3 linked regions of the Alligator mississippiensis genome follow. Each later gene encodes a partner of the first gene's protein in a complex. Links are inferred from orthologs where the notes say so. Each region holds a gene or a part of one and is shown in the gene's direction. Other genes may lie near its edges.

Region 1 (7,119 bases):
TCATATCTGAGCACCTCAAAAATGTAAAGTGCTATGTAACCAGCAAGTAGTAGTAATATTAACTGTCCAAATTCTGTGCTTATTTACATGCCTTCACCAAAGTACTATTGGGTTAATTGATTAGGAGCTACATTTAGTAGACAGCTATATTTAGAGGCTCTCCTAAAAATGCCATGACTGGTGTTTCCAATGAGATTAGAAAACTGTCATTCTCGAGTACTGGACATCCAATACTCATGGGTGCTAGACATGAGACGAGCTGAGCCAGCAGATAGCAGAGCCCTCCTCTGGAACTCACTCACCAGCCATCAGTGAACCAAAAGTCCTACCACTACAAGATTGCTGCTAAAATATTTCCTCAGATGTGTTTCCCTCTGAGCAAACATTATTTTTTAGCTGTTTAGGGCCCAAAATCTGTGCGACAAAATTTCCCTTCTAGCTATAGAAACATCATATGCAACATCAAAGCGGTGGTCGTTTTCTAAACCTACCTCTGTCTCCTAGCTGGCAATGAATACCTATGGTGAAACACAGAAGGATCTTAGATACCATTGCAGGAACTTGGACTATTACAGAGATGTTAGACAAATGAAGTACGACATTGTCTTTTGGTTATAAGAGACAATGAGCAGGCTGTAGAAATAACTTTAAAAGAACAAGAATACCAGGTGTTAATTCATTCTGTAGTTCTCAGCTAATATACTAAGAACCTGGAATTTCTACTCATACCATAGCCACCACAATGTGTGCATCAATCAGCCCTCCATCCCAACGAAACTCATCTCTAACCACTCAAAGGATAACACTATGTATATCATCTAAGCTGGCTGCAAATCAAAAACTACTCCCACACTAACCCGCTCTGTTTCTTAAGGGCTAACAGGATACCCACTTCTGTTTGCTCAGTTTTATCTGGAATTGTAATTTTGGCCCAGAGAAACCTGAACTTTGGTCAGGCTCCTGAAAATAAGCTGTCTAACCTTCTTTCATATTAGCAGTTAAAGACTACTATCTGGGCAAGGTGAGGCTTGCTTTGATATATGAAGGACCACATAAAAAGGATGAAGAGACCTTTCCCTTCTTCCAACAAGAATTAAAAAAAAACAAACCTAATTACAAATCCCAAATGAAATGTAGATCCTATCACTTATCAGTAAACTTAGTGACACATAAGCATCTTTGCAGCTGGCTTGAAAATACAACAAAGCTATCGGCTCCTAACTAAGGCCAAATTCACAGGGGAAAGACTATGTGGATACAAAATACAGAAGGTGGCTGTGCGTTTGAAAGAACAAAGAACAAAGTAAGTTCTCTCTATAAACATGTAAAATGGAATTTAATCCATATGCCTACAACAAATCCTGAGTCCGTTTTATTCCTCTCAGCAACAAAAATGTATTCAGTTGTCATGGAATCTACTGTTGTTTAGGTTATCTACCACAATGACAGTATTCACCAAGGTGTCGATAACCTCCTGACAAGGATTCAGTTATTCATTTCCTTATGTTTTGTTATAGGCAAGTGAGTGGGAAGATGTTACAGACACTGCAATCTCTCCTCAGCTCAGCCCCATGAAGCTTTCAGCCCAAGCCCACGTGCCCAGATCAGACACCACATTGCCTCAGCCCAGCACTGCACACCTGAATTTGGCCTCATGCTGCTTTGTCCCAGCCCTGCTGATCTAATGCGCAGGGCCATGCTATCTGGCCTTCTAGGCTCTGCGTGAGTCCAGAAATCTGGCGGCAGGGAAGCAGCAACTAACATTGTAAACATCAATCACCTCCAGACCACCAAATTTTCAGATCCAGGGGGAACCCACAAGGCTGAACGACATGGGTTCCTGGATTGATCAGACCCCTGGGCCAATCACACAATGTATAACTAGGGACCTACCCAACTTGCAGTGAAAGAAAGCAATTTTCGTGGCTTGGTCACAGCCCCAAGAGCTGAGTTTGTAGTCATTTGTGGTGGCCCCTCCCCTCAGCATTGACTGGTGGAGAGGCCCTGGGGGAGGAAGGATGAGGGGCAGCTGACATCTTGACTATTGGCAACTCTTTGTGCCGCCCTGGCCCTTGGCACTGGTTGGTAAAGAGGTACGAGGGGGAAGTATCTTGGCTGATGCTCCTTGTGCTGCCCACCAGCTGGTGCCTTCCCCTCCCTGGTGGGCTGCAATGGCAGGCCACAGCAGCAGCAAGAACCGCTGATTCCCACTGAGGAGCCAGCATTTTCTTTTTAAAGGGGTTTTTTTTTGGTCAATTTCCTGGGATATCACCGCCAATGCCAATTTTCACAATTTCTGCAAAAAATGCAAAACAGCAATTTAAGTAGGTTCTCAGGTATAATGCATTAAAAACAATCTCACATCCACTCAGTCTTCCCTGGAAGTCCTAAAAGATACAAAAATGAGAAACTCAAACCAAATGAAACAGCAGACCCAATACATCTTAATGCTCGGGCAGATTTTAGTACAGAGGCCTTCTGAACAGAATTCCTGCCAAAGTTACTCTAGAAAATAAATACAGCTAACTGGGATTTTTTTTTTTTTTTTTACACCAAGGAACTGGAGAAGAAACTTGTTCTCCAGGAAAAAAAACCCCTCAAGGAAACTTGAAGAGTAAAACCTGTACTATAGAAAGTTATCCTTACTGCACTGATGGGAGAAAGTTACTACAAATGTTATTGTGATAGAAGTGGGAGCTTATCATATTCATGCAAAAAGCAGTAATTGACACACCTTTTTCAATATATCAGCAGAAGAGCTTTCAACTTCTGATATCTCCAGTGATCTGAGGCAGCAGGGTAGTTAGTAACATAGGACTGTTGAATGGCAGTAATTTAGTTTGAACCAGCAAGGAGTTATCAGAAGCTGAGCTTTCTGCCAGGATGTTCAAACCATGACCAGTTAAGAAGAAAACAGAAAATAAAAACAGGAAATCCTTGGCAGAGAAACTCTAAGGAAAAGCATTAACTGACTAAACCAAAACAGAGAGAAGCTGAGGAGACTGGCACCTCAGCGTAGAGGTTTTCAGCGGGAGGCTGGATAACAACAGCTGACCCTACTGAGAATCTACCCTGACACATGAACATTTAAGTTTGGCAACTGAACTAGAGCTCCTGAAAGTAATGAATGTGTGTCGGGTAGCTGGAAAGAAATTCGTCTCTAGGGGAAGTTAAGCTTCAACATCGGGGGGAAAAATGCAAAGTAGCCGACAAGGCTGGACCTGAGCAGCAGCCTGTTTGGGGTAAAAGCGCCCTGCCTTGGAAGCAAAGAGAGGGGGGAGGAAGGGAAAGGAGCAAAGCCCTGCTCTCCCCTGCCGAAAGCCCCGCAGCTGCTGTGGCCGCGACTCGAGTCGCCTCCAGACCCATCAGTGAGCGCGGCAGAGCTGTCCGGTCCTTCCGCCCGCGGGGCTCTGCCTGCCTGCGACGCCCCAGGGCCGGGCGGGCCAGGCACCTGCGCCGCCCGGGGCCACCACAGCCGAGCAGCTCCGGCCGTCTGCGGTGGAGCTCACGCCGAGGCAGTGAAGGCGGACAGGAGCTGTCGCAGCCCCGCGAGCTTCAAGTGGAGCCTGGGACCAGGGAAAGCCCGAGCGCCGCGGGCGTCAGCGCGGACAGCTCCCTCCCTCCCCAGCCCGGCCCCGCGGCGGCTCCCTGGCGCTGCCCTGCGCCGAGCGCCCCGACTGGGAACAGCTCGGTGAGACCCGCGGGAGGGAGGAAAAGGGGGAGAGGGAGAGAGAAAGAGGGACGCCCCTGCCCCTCGCGCCCCGCGGCGGCGGCCCCGCCTCAGCCCCGCGTCTCTTACGCGCACTCGTAGCGCGGCGAGGCGAGGAGGCGCCGGGGACCCCGGTGCCGCCGCCGCCATCCATCCATTCCGCTCCGCTCCGGATCCCTCCACCCGGCGGAAGCATCCGCGCAAAGAGCGCTGCGGCCCGCCCAGCTCCCTCCCCCCTCGCTCCGGTGCGGCGCCGGTCCCGGCCCTGCCGCTGCTGCGGGCGGGGGCGGGGGTTAAAGGCGGGCGGCGGCGACTGCGCGGGCGGACCCACCCACCCGCTCGCTCCGGCCCGGCCTGGCCCTTCCCTTCCTTTCCCTGCCGCCCCCTCCCCCGCGCTCGCCGTGCGCTGCCGCTGCGGGCTCGGGCTGGGGCTGCGCCGCGCGTGTGTGAGCGGGAGGGAGGGGGGGAGCGAGTGAGTGCAGAGCGCGCCGCTGCCGCCGCCGCCCTCCTGTCTCCTCGCTGCTCGCTCGCTGCTCGCGTCGCCGCCATGGCCGGCTGGCAGAGCTACGTGGACAACCTGATGTGCGATGGCTGCTGCCAGGAGGCCGCCATTGTCGGCTACTGCGACGCTAAGTACGTCTGGGCAGCCACGGCCGGCGGCATCTTCCAGAGCATCACGGTGAGCGCGGCGCTGCGGCGGCGGGGCTGGGGGACTGCAGCGGGCGCTGGGCGCTGTCGGGGCTTTTTGTGCGCGGCCGCCCGGCGAGGGGCCTGCCGGGGCCGGGGCCGGGGCCGGGCCGGAGCCGGGGTCGGGCGCTGCGGCGGGGCGGGGGGGGCGCGGGGATCTGCGGCGGGACTTGCGTAGGACTCCTTGCGCCGGGCCCAGCCGCTGCGGACACACTTACGTGCGCGGCGTAGGAGGCGTTCGTGAATCCCCCTGGCCGCGGCTCCATGTTTTTCATGGCCAAGATGGCGCCCCGCCACTGGGCTTTTTCTCCCCTTCTCCCCGCGCCGCGCCGCTCCCTTCCCCCCACCAGCCCCTTGCCCGGCCCGGCCCGGCCCGGGGGAGGGGCAGCCCCCGGGGCAGGGCTCCGAGCCGGGCATCCCCGCGAGCCGGGGCCGGCCGTGCTGCAGGCGGTGGCTGCGGCCCCGCCGGGAGGGGGAAGGGAGGGGGCGCGGGCCGGGCTGAGGCCGCTGCAGGGCCGGGCCCGGCCGGCAGGTGCGTGCGGGGGCGGCGGCCGCCACGGCCCGGCCGGTGCCCGAGGACGCCTCCGCGCCGGCCTTTGTGCGGGCGGGCCGGCGGGCAGTGGCGGCCGTGATTGGAAATGGCCGGGCCTGCCATGACGGTGCAGTTCTCCTGCAGGGCGACGCCTCCTTCCCGACTCGGCAGTGCGAGGCGCAGCCTCCCAGCCCGCCTCCGGCCAGGGGCGGCCGGGCCTCAGCCCGGCTCCCGGCGCGGGCCGCTGCTACGCAAGCGCGGGGCAGGGGCAGGGGCTGCGGGCGCGGAGGCCGCCGCGGGGCGCGGGCTGCGGAGGGAATGCCCCGCACCTGGCTGCAGCCCTGCTGGCCCTGGGCTGGGCGGCTCGGGACCGGCGGCCTGACTCATCCCCAGCTGGTGGCAGTGGCCTTGCGGTGGGGCAGCCCGTGACTCAGTGCTGCTGGCTCTCCCCGAGGGACCTGGCTCCGGTGCAAACCCTGTAGCCTCAGGCTAGGACTGTTGGGACTATGATACTTAGACCTGTGTTTAAGATGATACTTAGCCCACTGCCAGGAGCAAGGGGCCAGATCCTTGTTAAGAGTTCCCTTTCAGGAAACCACTGTAAGCAGCCAGGTTGGATTTTGCTGGTGTCTAACATCAGATTCTTTCTTTTTTTTTATCCTTTCCTTTTCTTTCCTGCTTCCCCTTGACAGCCAGTAGAAATTGATATGATTGTAGGTAAAGACCGCGAGGGTTTCTTCACCAATGGTCTGACTCTTGGTGCAAAGAAGTGCTCTGTGATCAGAGATAGCCTGTATGTGGATGGTGACTGCACGATGGACATAAGGACAAAGAGCCAAGGTGGCGAGCCAACATACAATGTTGCTGTAGGCAGAGCTGGCCGAGGTAAGGTGTCCTTTTGAAGCTGACCTTAGTAAAACAGGAATCCTGCCTTCAAAACTGGACTGAAACCACTTGCGTTATCTCTATAATGAGACCTTCAGTTTAAAATTGCAAGTTGGCTGTGGTACATGTCTAGCAGTCACAGGTGTAACTGAAATAAGTGACTGTAATAGAGCTCTTGGCCATACCTTATCAAATCTGTCCATACTTATCAAACGGTATCCACAAACTCTAGAGTAGCCCATATTGCAGCTGAAGGAGATGCAATATTACCCCCTTGCCCTGGGCATATTGCATTTAAAATGTTTGGTGTTCAGAACATCCAGTGAGGGAGGGTGCTAATGCATCCTGTTGAATTAGCAAGTGTAGTGTAAACCTGGTCTGCAGTGACTGCTGTCAATTTCTAGTATGAAGTAGTCTTAAATTACAGGACATCTAACAAGTCTTACTCTAACTTTTCTCATACCTATTGAGAGCTTTTGAAATGCATCCGATTGATACCTCAGTTACTTACAGTAAGCTTGTTTAATTACTGGTAGTGCACCTTCCCTAAATTTCTGTAACATAATGCTACTTGGAAGAAGCTAAACTCTATCTAGACTTCAAAAAACTGGGTACAAGCAACACAAGTATATTCAAGACTAAGCTTGGCATTCTCAAATGTTTTGGTTTTCTGTGAATGTTACGTCACTAACCAACGTTCACAAACGAAGTAACTCTAGAGAAAATATTGTTTCATGAATCTTCACATAACATGGAGATTCTAACCTAAGTAGTATAACATTAGTCAGACTATGTAAAGATATCTGACTCTAAAATAGCCTTTCCTTACAAGAATAATAGACTTGCCTAACCAGAGAATGCTTACAACGGTTTTGCCTTGGTACCCCTACGAGTTAAATTCACTTCTAAGAGCTCACTAATATAGTTATGATGTAGGCAGTGTATCTATAGTAAACTGATTCCAGTGCCACCGTTCCTAATTCAATAAACTAAGAGCCATTGTGCTTGAGAAGACCAGAATGCTTATGTAGTCTATATTCTAGTGACATCTGGTGGCAGTTAGAATATACTGTTCTGTTAACTACATCTTTGGGACAGGCTTCCCTAGTAAAGCATAGATACTTTGTAGCCTAGATAACTGAATGGAAAGAGGAAGAACAAGATTAATACTAAGATTCAGATGTCCTCATCTGACTAGAGAGGATAAAAAAAATTTTTAAGGCCTTAAGACCTAAGCTAAATTGGGCTTTTTTGTGCTTTTTTTTTTAAATTATTTTAATAATGATAACAATGGCATTTTGGTTAC
Region 2 (6,924 bases), on another chromosome or scaffold:
GATTAAGGCAAGCTCCATGTAGAATCTTGGCAGACTTCATTAACAGTGGCTGCCTTTCTTCTAATACAGTGGTTTTTCAGACTGTTGCACAATAGGTCATCATTGGTTCCACAAAGAGACGGGGTAATGGCGCAGGCTGGGAGGTGGTGTGCTGCCACTGCCATCCCAGATTGCTTGGCTCCATGTCAGCTCACAGGATAGGGGAAGGAGTTTCACAGCAGAATTGATATGAAAGGGTTCCATGACTTGAGAAAGTTTGAAAACCACTGCTTTAATGCAAGAGGCTCTTAAGTCTTGGCTAGGAAAATGGCTGCTTGGATTTACAGGAATGATTACATGACATTTTGATTATCTCAGAACAGAAATCCCCTGAATTTCAGGTTTCACTTGAATGCCACAAATGGTATGAGAAACTTACAAAATATCTTGGCTCTCTGCAGCAACAAAGGCCTGTGTGTTTAGAGAGCACGGAGGGACTTAAGTGCCCAATCCCAAATTAAAGTGCTTTTTCAACATCCAGTCTACTCATTCTCTTGTCTTCTGATCAGCTGTTTCATTTAGCTGATATAACAAACAAGCTGGGCACTAAATAGATTAAAGGGTGCAATTTTGTAAAGATTTTGGATAAGGTTGCAAATCCATATTATTTCATTGCCAAATAATAGAAGGGGAGACTAGCAGGATTTCACCTGCATAAGATAAAAGTAGTGGCCACAGAAGTTCAGCCAAATTATAATATGAGCACTACTTTTGTACTTGAAAGGAACCTTCAAAATTTGCTCAGGATCAAATTCACATCAGATCAAAAATCCATGAATTGTGATATACAAGTGTAACAGTCCCTTAAAGCAAGGGTTGCCAACCTGTGGCACATATGCCACAAGTGGGGTAGGCAGCTTCTGTGTGTGGCATTCAGCAGATCAGGAAGAGGACAGGCAGCAGAGCATCAGATTGGACAGGAAGCAGAAAGCAGAGCAGCAGACTGGGCAGGGAGCACAGGGCAGGAAACAGGAGTAGCAGATTGAGCAGAAGAAGGGGATCAGAGTGGTACTTGAGGAGTATGTAGATCCAATTTGTGGCATGCCTGACAAAATTTGCCCCCCCCCATTGCTTTAATGAATCCTTTTATTAAGCAATTAAAAAGAGAAGGGCAGGTGACAAAGGTTGGCCAGAGTGGCAACAAAAATCAGGCTTCCAAAGAAACTAATTATGGCAGTATTTACAATTTAGAGGCTCATTCACTAATTATTTTGACAGCAATGCAACAAAATCGCCAAAATGTCCATAACAACTATGGTATTTATTTACAAATAAATAAAAATAGACCAGTGTACCAGATCTATTGCAGTGATACAATAAAGGAAAAAACATGGAAGTACTTCATCATTAGAATTTAGTGATCATTATCTTGAACATACGACAGTGAAGCAATTGTGTATAATATTTGAAAAGCCTCAAATTAGGTCTCAATCTAATTCTTCAGAAGACTTTTGAAGACTACATTTCAGTCTTCTCAGTAGAGTTATAGGAGTGATTATCTGGTTCATTTTGGCATACATAGCTTTTGAAATATTTGGAGCATTTGGGAAGAGAGAAATTTCATAACTAACTTTCCTAAGGATTTTTTTTTATCCCCTGAAGAATTGTTTATTTTGGAGCCTACCAAAGAAGCTAGGATTTATTAATTGACAAGGGCACTACTTCCTTAGATCCTCATTAGTAAGAAAATGCCTGATATTACAATTCTGGTCTGGAAGTCATCTTCATTTCTCAGGAGACAGAGAAAGCTGGTCCTACTGGGATTAAATTACATTGTAGGTCTGGCAACAACAGGATAGAAGAAAGGAAGATTTCTACAATTGTGATGACACTTGGATTTTTTTTTTTTTTTTTTTTACAGTTGTCTGATCTACAGATCATTACAGGAAGGTGATGGGTATGGGCTGTTCTCTTGATAGTCCTGATGAAACAGTTCTAGAGTGAGGTCAGTATTGTAGGATAACAGGTTTTTGCCTATGCACAATAACCTTCCGGTGACTGGTACAGTATGTTCCAAGTGTCATCTTTCCCTTGTTTCCCTATGGCTCATTTCTATTTTCTCACTGCATTTAGGACCTTTTCATGAGAGTTCTTACAGCTTGAGGTAGTCAAGAAATGCGAAATAGATTATGAAGGTATTTCCATATGCTATTTTTTCTATTGCATTGGCATTTATAGTCTTTTTTTCTTTCACATAACAAAAACCTATTTAATATAAACTGGTAAAAATAATGCAGAATAATCTGAATAGGTTAAATAACAGGATTAACATTCCTAGAATGTCTCCTACTTTAGAATGTTTCTACTTCAAAGCATAACAATTCTTAATAAAAGGTTCCACAGATTCCAGCAGGACATGTTCAGCCTCTTGATAGAAATTATAAGGCTTAGCAGCAAGCAGTGTAGGATTAGTGATCCCACTCTCCAGCTACGTTTTTCTCACTGGCCTGGCTAGAGAGGATGGGATAGAAATTCAGGAAGCCTTTTGGCAATATCTTGGCTGGCTACACCTTGGAGAAAATGGGCTTCGAGTTTTCTGTTTGTCAGCAAAAAATGCCAGGCTTGTATACTACTCCAGAGGACATTGAAAGCTGTTCTTGAGAGAAGAAGGGTACAGCATTTTGTGCTTCCCTAATAGTAATTTATTCTGCAAGAGGCCTGTTCTTTGATTTTACTGCTCTTAACAGGCAAGTAGGAGTTGAGTTTGAATGACAGAAAAATCTGATAGTTTACCTAAAAAATACCCCATTCATTTTGGTGATATTGTATCTTTTGCTCTGGGAAAATTAATAAATACAGATGGTCTTCAACTTTAGAAACCATCAGCAGCTGTTTTTCAGTGTCAAGAGCATTTTCAGCTGAGCCACCTATAAGGTGACTTCCTTTTTTAAATAACGAAATGCAGTTGAGCAATTTTTAACTCCTAACCTGGATTAAATTTGAGGCAGGGGGGGCTGAGGAAATTTTAGGAATATGGGGGAGGGAGTCCATCACAAGTAAACCCTATTCCTATTGTTTGGGAATTCTTTGGCACAGAACTCCTCCCAGGCTCTGCTTCTGAACGGTGGGGCGTAGAGCTCAGGCAAGTTAGGCTGGTGGTTGGGTTTGGGCCCCAGCAGGGGCAGGACAGCTGACCCTTTTGTTAAGCACAAGGGAGATGGGCTGGATCAGTCTACTGAAGAGGAGGAATGAGAAGCAGCTCTGCAACCAAGGCATGCAGGGGCTCACCCCTCCTGTCCCAAATGTGTGTCCCTGCTGGCTTTGGCATGCAGCCAGTTCTGTTTTGTCATTATTATAGGCAGGTTCTTCTTACAGACCTGCAACAAGTGCCTTTGTGGTTCCTATAAGCCTCAGCCTCCGAAAAGGCTTTTCCCTTGGCTGTTGCAAGAATTGCAGGTAGAGGTCAGCCACAGCCGTCCCCGCTCAGTTTGGTTGCTTTTAGTGGCCTCTGATTCTCCAGCGGCAGCAAGTGAGAAGCACAGCCGGGATGGGATGGGCACAACAGGCTAAGCCTCCGCTGCTCTTCGGCCTGCGGCGCTGGGCGGCGGCAGGGACAGGCTCCCCTGGGCCCGAGTCTCCAAGACAGGCGCCCTGCAGCGGCGCCGTACCAAAGGCGCCGGGCCGCCGGCCGGCCTGGCGCGAGCAGCGGCAGGGCGAGCACTGAGCCGCGCTGCCTCCAGGCCGCGGGCGCGCAAGGCGCAGCTCCCCTCCGCGCCCGGGCGGCTGCGCTCTTGCAGGCCGGAAGCGGAAGTGCCCCCTCATGAATATGAGAGGAGCCGCGTCCGCTAATGAGATGCTGCCTGCGGAATGAGCGGGCGGGGCCGGGCGCGGCTGCAGCGGGCGGCCGGGCGGGCGGGCGAGCGAGCGGCGCGGCCTGAGGAGCCGGCGGCACTATGGAGGGCGGCGGGGGCTCGGCGCGCGTTGGCCGGGACAAGCGGCGGGGGAAGGGCCCGGAGGAGGCGGCGGCACCCGCGGACTCTGGCAAGTCCAAGAAATTCGTAAGTATCGCGGGGCCGGACCCCGCCTTTCCCGCCCGCGCTGCGCGGCCCGGCCTGGCCCGGCCCTCACCTGCCGCAGGTGCCTCCTTGCCGGCGGCGCCCGAGGAGGTGCCAGGCCCCGGCGTGCGGGTGCGGCGGGTCCCGCGCGGTCGCCGCCTCTGCCCCTGCCCCCCCGGGACGGACTTCGCTCTGTCTCAGCCCCGGGCGGTGGCGCCGCGCGCAGCCTCCTGCCCGGGCTGGGGCGGCCGCGGGGACTTTCCCGGGAGCTCAGCTCCGGCGGCGCAGGCCGGGTCCCGCTCGAGGCGGCGCGGGAAGCGGAGCCCGGGGCCGGGCTCGCAGTGCCGCCCCGCGCACTTGTCTCCGGGCTGGAGGGAGCGTGTCTTTATGGCGGGAGCTCAGCCCGCGGGCAGAGCTCGCCCTGCCTTTGAGCAGCGCCCTACTTGCTGACCATTTTGCTGGCTCGTGAAATGTCACTTGCCTGGGCCATACCGGTGGGGCCGCGGCCTTCGGTGGGATCTTGGGGGGCTCTTCCTGTTGCAACTGTCACCCCCCGCTGTGAGCTGGACGCTTGCTTGCCCCCTGCCACCAGTGACCATGCCCAGCTGGCCCCATGGCCCCAGTTCCCTGCCTCCTGCTAGCCAGCCCTGCATTCCTTGGCTACAGTCACAGGCAGGCTGCAGGGAACAGCTCCTGAGGCCACGTGTTTGATGCCTTTGCTGTAGGCAAATCATGTAGGTCCCTCAGCAAGATCCAAATTGAAATGTATTTGTAAGAAAGAGGAATGTTCCCCGGTAAAGTCTGAATGCTTGTAGGTTCTGGTCTCAGTTTGGTCAGTGCAGAGCGGTCCATTTGATTTCTTTCATCTTTTGAAAAAGGCTTAAAAAAAAGTGTATCCTTAACTCCAGTAAAAATCCCAGAGAAGATGAGGAAGCTTGTCATTTTGATGGAAGTTAGCAGCTCAAGTTAAAGATTAGATTCCCCTTTTGTTTTTAACTCGGATTTTAACTTGACCTGCTGACATGTATGAAAGGTATGTACTGCTTGGTCTGCAGTAGGATTTTAAACTGTTAGCTCACTTGGGTTAACATTACACCATTTGTTCTCATTAAAAGTAAGGATTTGGAGGAAGATGTTAGGTCTGCACACTGATTGGCTTACTTGGTCTTTCTGGATCCTTTCCTATTTGTGGCACGTATGTAACTCCAGGAGTCTCTATTGAACAATATTTTTTTCATTGTAGCTGCTTGTATGGGAGCCCTGGTAGCACAGATTAAGGTTTCTGATTGTTGACTGTTTCCATCTAGTTATGAGGGGTCACTGATCTGTTTAGTAGTATGTACCTTTCTCAGCCTTAGGCAGGCTCTGATGGTAAACCCTCAGAGGGATGTGGATTAACTGAAGGGGCTCTTGGGAAAAGAGATCAGTGGGACTGCTGTGGACCTTTCGACCCTTGGAATCTTATTTATGCAAGAAAAGTGTCCCCCAAGGGTGCTAGCTGAAGAGTAGGAGTACAAGATGATGCCTATAGATCAAACAGTGCTCAAGGCACTGAATGTACAGGGGCCTTTGCTAAGAGGTGGGTGTCTAATGTTTTGGTGTTTGGGACTGCTGGTTGGTTGCATGTAGGTTCTTTTCCCTGCCACAGTGTATTTTTCACATTTTGAATGAAGCTGCATTACTTCATTCAAAGCATCATGTGGGCAGTGTCCCTCTCTGATCACAGAGGAGTTGGCACTGTTGCTAAACCTTTCTGTTCTATTCTCAGGTAAATTTACATGTAGAGTGGGGCTTAACAGTGTATTGGCCAGGTTGCAGTGAGTATTGGATTTGGTGAATGCAGTCTAGTTTGGTAATCCACTTATTGCTGTCCATAAGTCACATAAAAGAAACAGGAAGGAAATGCTGATCACAGGGAGTGTCTCTTACTATATGTCTCATGCAACAGAAGGAAGCTTTGAAAGTATTAAGATCTTTAAGAGAGTTAGATACCCTTACAATATGTGGTATTAGCAGGTTTGTAATAACTTACATCTATGTAGCTCATTTTTATTCCAAAAGAATCTCAAAAACACATCACAAAGTACTTTGTATGATACATAGATCACTTAATTGATCATAGAAATGTTACCCATCTCTGGAAAGAAACGGTGTAGCACTTTGGGTAACACATATCAACTTTTCACAAGTATAGGGTAGGAAATTTAAAATACTACAATAAAAATATTACTGTCAACTTCCTCTGAATTAAGGGAGATTGAATGTAATTATGCAAACTGTTTTTTTGGATGTTGAAATTCATTAATAGTTATGTGAAAATAGTTTCCCCTCAAAAATATGTACTTGCTGCCTCGGGAGCCAAAGAGTTATTATTAGATGAGCTAAAGGCTTGTCATTTGTCTACATTTAGGATATCCTAAATTGGAGGTGATTCAGAGAAGATTAGAAATGGTTAGGGGGCTAGATGGACTGGTCTGAGGAAAACTTGATAGTAAAGCTTATAGTAAAGTTTGACTAACTGACCACTATGGGACAGGGAGTAGACCACAAGGGTGTGAAGGTGTAAGTAAAAAATATGGGTTGCTAGTGTTTGTATGTAGAAAAAATAATAGATACGGTCATCTTAAAGTGTAACAGCAACACAGAATCACTTTGCCAGCACAGCCTAAAAATGTTGAAACTGAAAAATCTTTTGAAAGCCAAATTACTTCCAGTTTATCTTTATTGAATGAAGTAAACCCTTTATAACTTGTAAAATCCAAATTTTGGGAATTGCTCTCTCTCGGAGAAAAGGAAAAAAGACTGAATATCAAACAATTCTTTTTTAATGATCAGACATTAATTTTTAAAACAGTTACCTAGTGGGGTACATGCTTTATTGGGGGCATAG
Region 3 (7,541 bases), on another chromosome or scaffold:
TAAATGTGGGGAGAGACAGTGTGTGCCAGCTACAGACGAGGTTGTGTGATGCACAGCTGTGTGTGTGTCCAGGGGCCAGAGTTGTGTGTGTGTGTGTGTCTCTGTGTATGACAGTGCTCTATATATGCATGTGCATGTATGTGCACAGTTGTGTGTGGGTGGGGCAGGGCAGGGCAGTGAGCACGTGTGTCTGTGTGCATGGCAGGACTCTGTGTGGGTCTGTGTGCATGTGTGGTGTGCACAGTTTGTGTGTATGTGTGTGGCAGGCCTGCGTGTGTGCACCCCCCCAGCCCTGGCTTGGCCCCACTCCAGCCTTGGCCCTGGGCCCAGTAAGCAGCTGCACTGGGCGGCACCAGAAGACCTGGGTTCAGTTTCTGCCGTGAGGTCCGGACCTGGCTGTCAGAGCCAGTGGGGTGAGGGTAGGGGCATCAGTGTGGGGCCTAGATCTAGCCTCTGGCTCCTGCCCCAGAGGTTGGGGGGTTACTGCTTCTGGGAGAAACCGCCCCCTCCCCAGCACCACAGTGTCTCCAGGGGCCCCTTACCCAACGCCTGTCCCCAAGCTGGATCCCCCAGTTCAGTTCAGCTCCCCCCTAGAGCAGCACGTGGGGGGGGGGGGGGCTGTGTACACAGTCCGGGGCTCCACCCCAGAACCAGCTGCCTTCCAGCACCAGAGTGTGGGGGGGTGGTCCCCTGTGTACCACTCCCCTCCTCGCTCCACCCTAGAAGTAGCTGCCTTCCAGCAGAGAGAGAGAGAGAGAGAGGGCGGGGGGGGGGAGAGAGAGTGTTTGTGGAGGGGGTCCCGATACACACAACCCCCTGCCTCTCCCTCCCCCCAGAAGCAGCTTCAGCGCAGCCCTCGGCCCTGCCCCCCGCCTCCAGCTGGCTGCCCCTCTGCCCCCCTCCCCGCACCTTAAGCAGCCTCTTGCCCGAGGCGGCGGCAGCGCAGAGCCGGGGGGGGGGGGGGGGGGAGTTCAGCACCGCCCCTCGCCCCGGCCGCGGAGACCCCGGGCGCCGTGAGCGCAGGGCCCGGCCCAGCCGCGGCCGCCGACGTCGGTGCCGGAAGCTGTGACTCCATCGCGCTCCATATCGGGCCGCGCTATTTCGGGCTTGGCTCGGAGCTGCTAAAAATAGCGGCCGCGGCTGGAAGCGGGAGAGGGCGGGGGCACCGGGCTGGGCACCGGGCATGCACCCCCCCCCCCCCCCCGGGCACCGGGCATGCACCACCGGGCATGCCCCCCCCTACCCCCCCGGGCATCGGGCATGCACTCCCGCCCCGGGCACCAGGCATGCACCACCGGGCACGCACCCTCCCCCGGGGACTAGGCATCAGGCATGCAGCACCGGGTATGTACCTCTCTGGGTACCGGGCATGCATTCCCACTGGGGATCGGGCATGCACCCCGCCCCCCCCCCTTCCCGGACATGTACTCCCTGGGCATGCACCATGCACCTTCCTGGGCACTGGGCATCCATCCCCGGGCACTGAGCATGCACCGCCCCCCCCACCCAGGGCACCAATCATCCAGCCCCCTGAGCAGTGGGTACTGGGCATGCAGCCACCCCCACCCCGGGGCAGCAGACATCCACCTCCCTCAGCACTGGACATGCACCCCGCCCCTTCCCCGGGCACAGGATCTCCCCTGCACCCAGCACAGGGCTCCTGCAGGGACCCCCATCGGACATCTCTCTTCACCAGGAACCGGGGCACCGAGCATCTCCCGCTGGGCATGCAGGGAGCCCTGGGATCTCCTCCTCGCTGCCCCGCTGCACAGCTTGGACCCCGGGCTTCTCCCGCCCGGCACTAGGCTCTAACCCCGGGCACCAGGCTGTCCTGCGGGCGTGCGGATGCACCAGGACTCCCCTGCGCGGGGGACTGGGCACCTACATTGCCACCACCTCGCCCGCCAGCCGGCCATGTGGGGAGTACCGAGCCTTTTCCTCAATGTGTCAGGGGAGAGGGGGGAACATGTGAAGAAGGACGGACAGACGGATAACAGGGTGCAGCAGAGCTACGGGGCAGGGTGGGGGGGGCACCTCTGGACATTCTCTCCACTGCCGGCCAGACTCCAGGATGGGTTTTGCCCTGTGCCTATCTGCAGAGATCCCAAAGCAGAGTCGCGCTGCCCCAGATACCTACTCTGCCCCTGCGCGGCGGGGGGGGGGGGGGGATAGCCATAGAGGGAGCCCTATCACAGACCCCCCCCCCACCCCCAAATGCAGGGCCAGCCCTGCCCAGAATGCCACAACCCACAGAGAATGGCACAGGGAGATGACAACTTGGGTGGGCCAAGAGGGCAGCCCCAGGCCCCACACCTCAGCCAGTCCAGCAGGCAGGAGAGAGAACCCAGGAGTCTGGTTGTCACTCAGTGCCCATCACAGAGGATCCTCATAGGGCATGTGGCTCTATGAGGGTCCCTGGCCAGGCCATGGAGCTGCCCGTGCTGGGCTGGGGAGCGAGTGTGAGGAGCTGCAGAGGGAAGTGGGGGATCAGATGGTGGGGACCCCTTGTGTGGACATTTCTGAGCCTGGGACGGGGACACCAGGGGCCAGTGTCTGAGGCTAGGATGCCCCAGCTGGCTGCAGGGGGGCATGGAGCCAGTGCTCCCACAGGCTGTGCCCAGCCATGGGGCTCTGGGCCTGGGAACTCATAGGTGGTTTGCTTTCAGAGTCCAGGGGCCTGGTACCTGCCTGGCAGCCCCAGCCCCTCCCCGCCAGGCATGCTGGACCCCCTCCATCCAGCCTCACGAGCCAGTGGGGGGGGGCGCAATAGCTCCCAGCCCTGCTGCCCTGAGACATGACACGATGTAGCCCAGATGAGGTGGAAATTTCCCAGCATTCTCTAGGGCAGCCTTTGCTCTGGGGCGCTCATGTGCCTGGGCCTTGGGACTCCTGGGTTCCACCCCCTCCCCTGCCCAACAGGTTGTCCCCCTGCGTGGGGTGTGGGGGCACTCGGTATCTGCGGTGGAGGCAATGCTGGAGCAGGGGCCAAGCCGACGGCTGGGGGCGAGGGGGGTGGGGCTGGCTTTGAGACCCCAGCTCCATGCTTTTCAGCCTGGTGGGGTAGGGCTGGGTTCTCCAGGTGCAGGGGGCCTGAATGTGCCCTTGGAGGGGGTCACACCCTGGGTAGGACACACTTAGCACACTGAGCCCCGGGGGCCTTGGCCAGGATCCCCGCGGTTTTGGCTGGTCCCATTCTTAGGGCTGGCGGGGGCACAGTTCTGCACCTGCTGCCGGGAACCCGGGCGGAGGGTTCTTTGGAGAATCCAGGAGTCCTCCAGAGCCAAGAAAATAACCCAGGCGTCCTGGCCGCCCCCAACTCTATCCCTCCTCTACAAGTGCTGGACTTAGGCGTCCTGCCCCCCCCATGAGATTGGAGCCAGGAGCCCCGCCTCCCAGGGCCAGGGGTAAAACCCAGGCGTTCCGGCCTCCACCCCCAGGCATGGCACCCAGGCGTCCCGGCCCTTATCCCCCGCCCAGGAACAGAATCCAGGCGTCCAGCCCCTGCCCCTTGCATTTGAGACTGGACCGAGGCGACCCGGCTCCCCACGCAGGCGCGGAACCGAGGCATCCCAGCTCGGCCGGCCCGGCCCTGCCCGGCCCCGCAGCGCTGACTCAGCCCCTGCGCTCGGCGGCGTCAGTCCCGGCCTCGACCGCTATTTTTAGCCGCGCGGCGCTAAGAATAGCGCGGGGGCAGCTGCCTTGCGGGGCTGCCCGGCGTCAGCACCGCCGGCCGGGACCCAGACCCACGGCCGGGTTGGTGAGGGGGGGGGGGCGGGCTGTGCGGGCCGGGCCGCGACCCAGGTAGGGGCAGGGGCGAGCCCAGGGCCCTATAGGGGAGGAGCGGAACTAGGACCTATAGATATGGAGGAGAGGATGCTAGGGACCCCTACAGAGGTGGGGCGGGGCGGGGCCGGCACCCTATAGGGGCAGGGAAGCGGCAGGGCCGCGAGCCCTGTAGAGGTGGGGGAAGGGCAGAGCCAGAGCCTAGACGGGTGTGGGTGAGGGGTCCTGTAGGTGTGGTGGAGGAGTGGGTGGGACTGTATAGGGGTGAGGGTGTGCCAGAGCCCGGACCCTACAGGGGAGGGAGAGAGGAGAAGCGGGACCAGAACCTGGTAGGGGTGGGGTAGGAGCCGGGCTGGGGACCCCTATAGCTGTGGAGGCGGGGCAGGGTTGGGACCTCTATAGGGGAGGGGCGGGGTTGGCTGGAGACGCCTATCGATGCAAGGGTTGGGTAGGGCTGGGTCCTACAAGGCTGGGGGGGGTAGCTCTTCCCCCCCCCCCGCGTTAACGCCTTCCCTGCCGGCTCATCGCCGCTCCCAGCAGAGCTCCTCTGCTGGAGACTCCCTGCATGGAATGACTGGCCGGAGCCGCCTGCGGGCGGCGAGACCTTGGCTGGGACTAGGGTTAGGGCTGAAGGGGCTCCGGGATTCCCGACTGGATCAGGCTCTTCCTCTCCGGCAGGGGGACCCAGGAGTCCCGGCGCCCAGGTCTCTGCTCACGCCGGATCGATGCAGCCCCTGGGTCCCAGGCCTGGCTCCGATGGCATGGGCACGACTCAGGGCGGGAGATGCGGGGTACGTGCTGTGCAGTCCCGATAGGGGTCGGGGTCGGGCTGGGGACCCCTGCAGGTGCGGGGAGGGGCAGTGGCCTGAAGAGACCCAGGGCCCCTCCTCCCGCCGCGACCGGGATGGATTTGATCCTCCTGCATTAGACCTCTTGCAGCTGCAGCTGCAACCTAGGAGTCCCGGCTCCCGGCACCCCGCTGACCCACTGGCTCTGGGTGTTGAGGAGGCGGACGCGGGGCTGGGTTAGGGTTGGCCCTGCTGCCCCCCCCCCCATGCGAAGCGGGATCCCGAGGCTTGGCCGGGCCGGAGGCGCCACCGTGCGGCCCAGCGCAGCGAAACAGGGGCACCCCTCCCCGCCCAGAATGAACCCAGGAGTCCTGCCCCAGGAGTGGGGTTGGGGCCTCTGTTCAGGGTGAGGGCCACAGCCTGGCCCAGGTGAGCCAGGAAGGGCAGAGAGGTGGGGGCCAGGACGCCTTGGTTCTATCCCCTGTCTGGGAGGGGAGTGGGCTGCGGTGGTTTAGTCTGGGATGAGGGGGGTGGGGGTGAGAGTCAGGACTCCTGGGTTCCCTCACTTTGCTTGGGGTGAGGATGGCTCATGGGGGAGGAGGGGAGGGAGGAAGTCCTCCTCTAGGGCAGCCATGGCTCTGGGGAATCTCTCACTCCCCAGCCCAGGATCAGGGCTCAGGCCTTGTCTGATACCCCCTCCTCAGCATGGCCTGGCTGCCCCCTCCCATGTCAGGCAGGTGCCCAATCAGCTCCCACACCCCGGGGCAGATGGAGAGGGGGTTGGGGAAGGTGGAGGGAGGCCAACTGTAGCTTGCCTCTGAGGTACCTGCCTGGTGCCAACAACAGAACCCAGGAGTCCTGGCCAGACCCCTCTGGCACTGCTCCCCCCTGCCAGGACAGGGGTCTCAGGGAGCCACAGCAGCCTCTGAGCACCAGGCTGCGGGGGAGGGGCACCTAACCTGAGCAGTTGGGGGGGCAGGAGGGGGGCGGGGAATGGGGATAGGATGCCTGGGTTTTGGGGATGGGAACCCAGATGCCTGGGTTCTTCCCTCCCAGCTAGGGGAGAAGAATGCGGTGTATTCAGCTCCATCCCCACCTTTTCCATGGACAGGACTCCGGTTCTGTGACAAGAGTTTTTATTAAAGTGTAAACCCCACACAGCCGGGGTGGGCATGGGTAAGGGAGTGGCTCCTGCCCCAGCTCGTGCCCCGGAGCACCAAGCTGCCCCCATCCCCAGCCCATCCCTGGGTAAGCCCCGTCCCATCAGCGCCAAGCATCCCCCCATGGGCAACTTGTGCCCAGGGTGGCAGCAGAGGGGGTTCAGGTGGAGCGGGGCAGGGTGGATGCTCATTCTGCCTTTGCTTTGGCACTTGGGAGCTTGGCCTGAATCCTGGAGGGGGGCAGAGACATGTCACATGCCGGGGCATTGCCCTGCCCCCCTGGGGCTCCCAACCCTGTTCCTGCCCCCTGGGAGTCCCTACCCTCATCCCTGCCCCCACTGGGGACTGCATTACACATGACCCCCCTCATTTCCCCCTGCCAGCTGGCAGGGCAGCCCCCATGCACTAGGGGTGCTGTTCTGGGGGGGAGGGCAGTGCTGGAAGCCCCCCCCCACGGCACTCACTTGGCTCGGAGGTGACTGAGCTGGTTCCTCACCAAGCCCACGTACTGGTCGATCTGTGCCTGCAGGAGATGGACTGGGGGTGAGGCAGGTGGGGAGCCCCTGGAGACCCCCTCCCTGCCTGAGATAGCAGGACACAGGGCTAGCAGCCTGTCTCCCCCAGGGACACTGGCATTCATCTGCCCTCTGCTTCAAGGCTTTCTCCCCACCCTGCACATGCACACATGTGCACACACTCACCTGGTGATGCCGGTAGAGCACAGGGAAGGTAAATGCACTTATCACACCTGGGGGAGAACAGGACAATCAGACTAAGCCATGCCCCCCCAAACCCTTGCCCTCCCTGCCTGGGCCACTCCCTACCCTGCCCTCACACAGCTCCCCCCCATTTGCACACAGCCCCAGCCAGACCATGCCACCCCCTCCCCCATGGTTCCCCTCATCCCTCTCCCACTGGGCCCAGATGCCCCCCTGCCCCTGCCTCCAGTGCCCTCTCACCCATGAGCAGCAGTGTCAGCCCATTGAACACGGCACCCACATAGGTGAGGATGTAGAACAGGAAGGCGAACTGAGGGGGCAAGATGGGGGGTCAGCACAGCTCCTCCTACCCTAACCCAGGGCCTGTGGTGGGGGTTATCCAGGGCCTGGTTGGGGGCAGGATCAGGCCCTGGCACAACAGCATGGGCAGGAAGGGATGGGGCTGATACCAGGGTCTGGCATGGATTCAGCCCCGGGGGTGGGATTGGGGCTGTCTCTGCCCATGGGGTGGGTGTGAGGCAGACCACTTGAGCAGGGTGTGGGGCCCAGGGCAAAGCAGCCTGTGCGGGTCCCCGCCCCCAGACACAAGGAAGCCGGTGGCAGATTTGGCAGCGAGGAGGGGGGTGGCAAGTGGCTGGACGTGAAGCCAGCAGCAGTGTGGAGTCACCACACCGTGCTGCCCCATCCAGCTCTGTTCCACCCCACAAAGCATCGGGATTCACACCCCCACCCCTGCCGGGACAGCCCTCGTGTGAGGTCACAGGGGGCAGCCTGGGGGTACGTCCTGAGGGCAGCTGACCCTCCCAGAGGTCACCGGGGGTTACTGGGGGTCAGGGGCGAGGGCACCTTGAGGGAGTCCACGAGGTCCTCGACAAGGAAGAGGTGGCGCAGGGTACGGGCACCAGCGGCCATGTGCTGCCCTATGCGCTCAGCCACATGCTTCAGCTGCTCTGGGGACAGCGACACATCTGTGTCCAGCAGGGGCCTGCAGCGGGGAAAGGGGGTCAGCAACAAATCAGATTCTACCTCTGCCCCCCACAGTGACCCCTGCTGGGGGAGCCTGGGGCTGGAGACCAGGGCAGGGGCAGAAC

Evidence for each region.
Region 2: the proteins of PFN2 (region 1) and DIAPH1 are in contact, whole or in part, in a crystal structure (PDB 2V8F), measured with the Mus musculus proteins. The link is inferred for Alligator mississippiensis from reciprocal best matches to the Homo sapiens genes PFN2 and DIAPH1. Residues at the interface, in NP_062283.1 of Mus musculus: Ala2, Gly3, Trp4, Ser6, Tyr7, Asn10, Ala28, Tyr30, Trp32, Arg108, Met131, Tyr134, Leu135, Ser138, Phe140; in NP_031884.1 of Mus musculus: Ile635, Pro636, Pro637, Pro638, Pro639, Pro640, Leu641.
Region 3: the proteins of PFN2 (region 1) and VASP are in contact, whole or in part, in a crystal structure (PDB 2V8C), measured with the Mus musculus proteins. The link is inferred for Alligator mississippiensis from reciprocal best matches to the Homo sapiens genes PFN2 and VASP. Residues at the interface, in NP_062283.1 of Mus musculus: Gly3, Trp4, Ser6, Tyr7, Asn10, Cys13, Tyr30, Trp32, Met131, Tyr134, Ser138, Phe140; in NP_033525.2 of Mus musculus: Gly165, Pro166, Pro167, Pro168, Pro169, Pro170, Gly171, Pro172, Pro173, Pro174, Pro175, Pro176.

The regions. Positions count from the first base shown.
Region 1 is NC_081830.1:61,625,928-61,633,046, reverse strand, and holds the start of PFN2 (profilin-2), read left to right. Parts: upstream 1-4,102; 5' UTR 4,103-4,256; coding exon 4,257-4,388; intron 4,389-4,614; exon of another isoform or gene 4,615-5,038; intron 5,039-5,620; coding exon 5,621-5,813; intron 5,814-7,119. UniProt on the Homo sapiens protein: Binds to actin and affects the structure of the cytoskeleton. At high concentrations, profilin prevents the polymerization of actin, whereas it enhances it at low concentrations. By binding to PIP2, it inhibits the formation of IP3 and DG.
Region 2 is NC_081832.1:40,894,896-40,901,819, forward strand, and holds the start of DIAPH1 (protein diaphanous homolog 1), read left to right. Parts: upstream 1-3,892; 5' UTR 3,893-3,932; coding exon 3,933-4,037; intron 4,038-6,924. UniProt on the Homo sapiens protein: Actin nucleation and elongation factor required for the assembly of F-actin structures, such as actin cables and stress fibers. Binds to the barbed end of the actin filament and slows down actin polymerization and depolymerization.
Region 3 is NC_081838.1:110,335-117,875, reverse strand, and holds the start of VASP (vasodilator-stimulated phosphoprotein), read left to right. Parts: upstream 1-4,493; 5' UTR 4,494-4,539; coding exon 4,540-4,574; intron 4,575-5,690; exon of another isoform or gene 5,691-5,918; coding exon of another isoform or gene 5,919-5,961; intron 5,962-6,195; coding exon of another isoform or gene 6,196-6,254; intron 6,255-6,432; coding exon of another isoform or gene 6,433-6,479; intron 6,480-6,690; coding exon of another isoform or gene 6,691-6,760; intron 6,761-7,296; coding exon of another isoform or gene 7,297-7,435; intron 7,436-7,541. Other genes in the region: RTN2 (reticulon-2), read right to left, coding at 5,919-5,961, 6,196-6,254, 6,433-6,479, 6,691-6,760, 7,297-7,435. UniProt on the Homo sapiens protein: Ena/VASP proteins are actin-associated proteins involved in a range of processes dependent on cytoskeleton remodeling and cell polarity such as axon guidance, lamellipodial and filopodial dynamics, platelet activation and cell migration.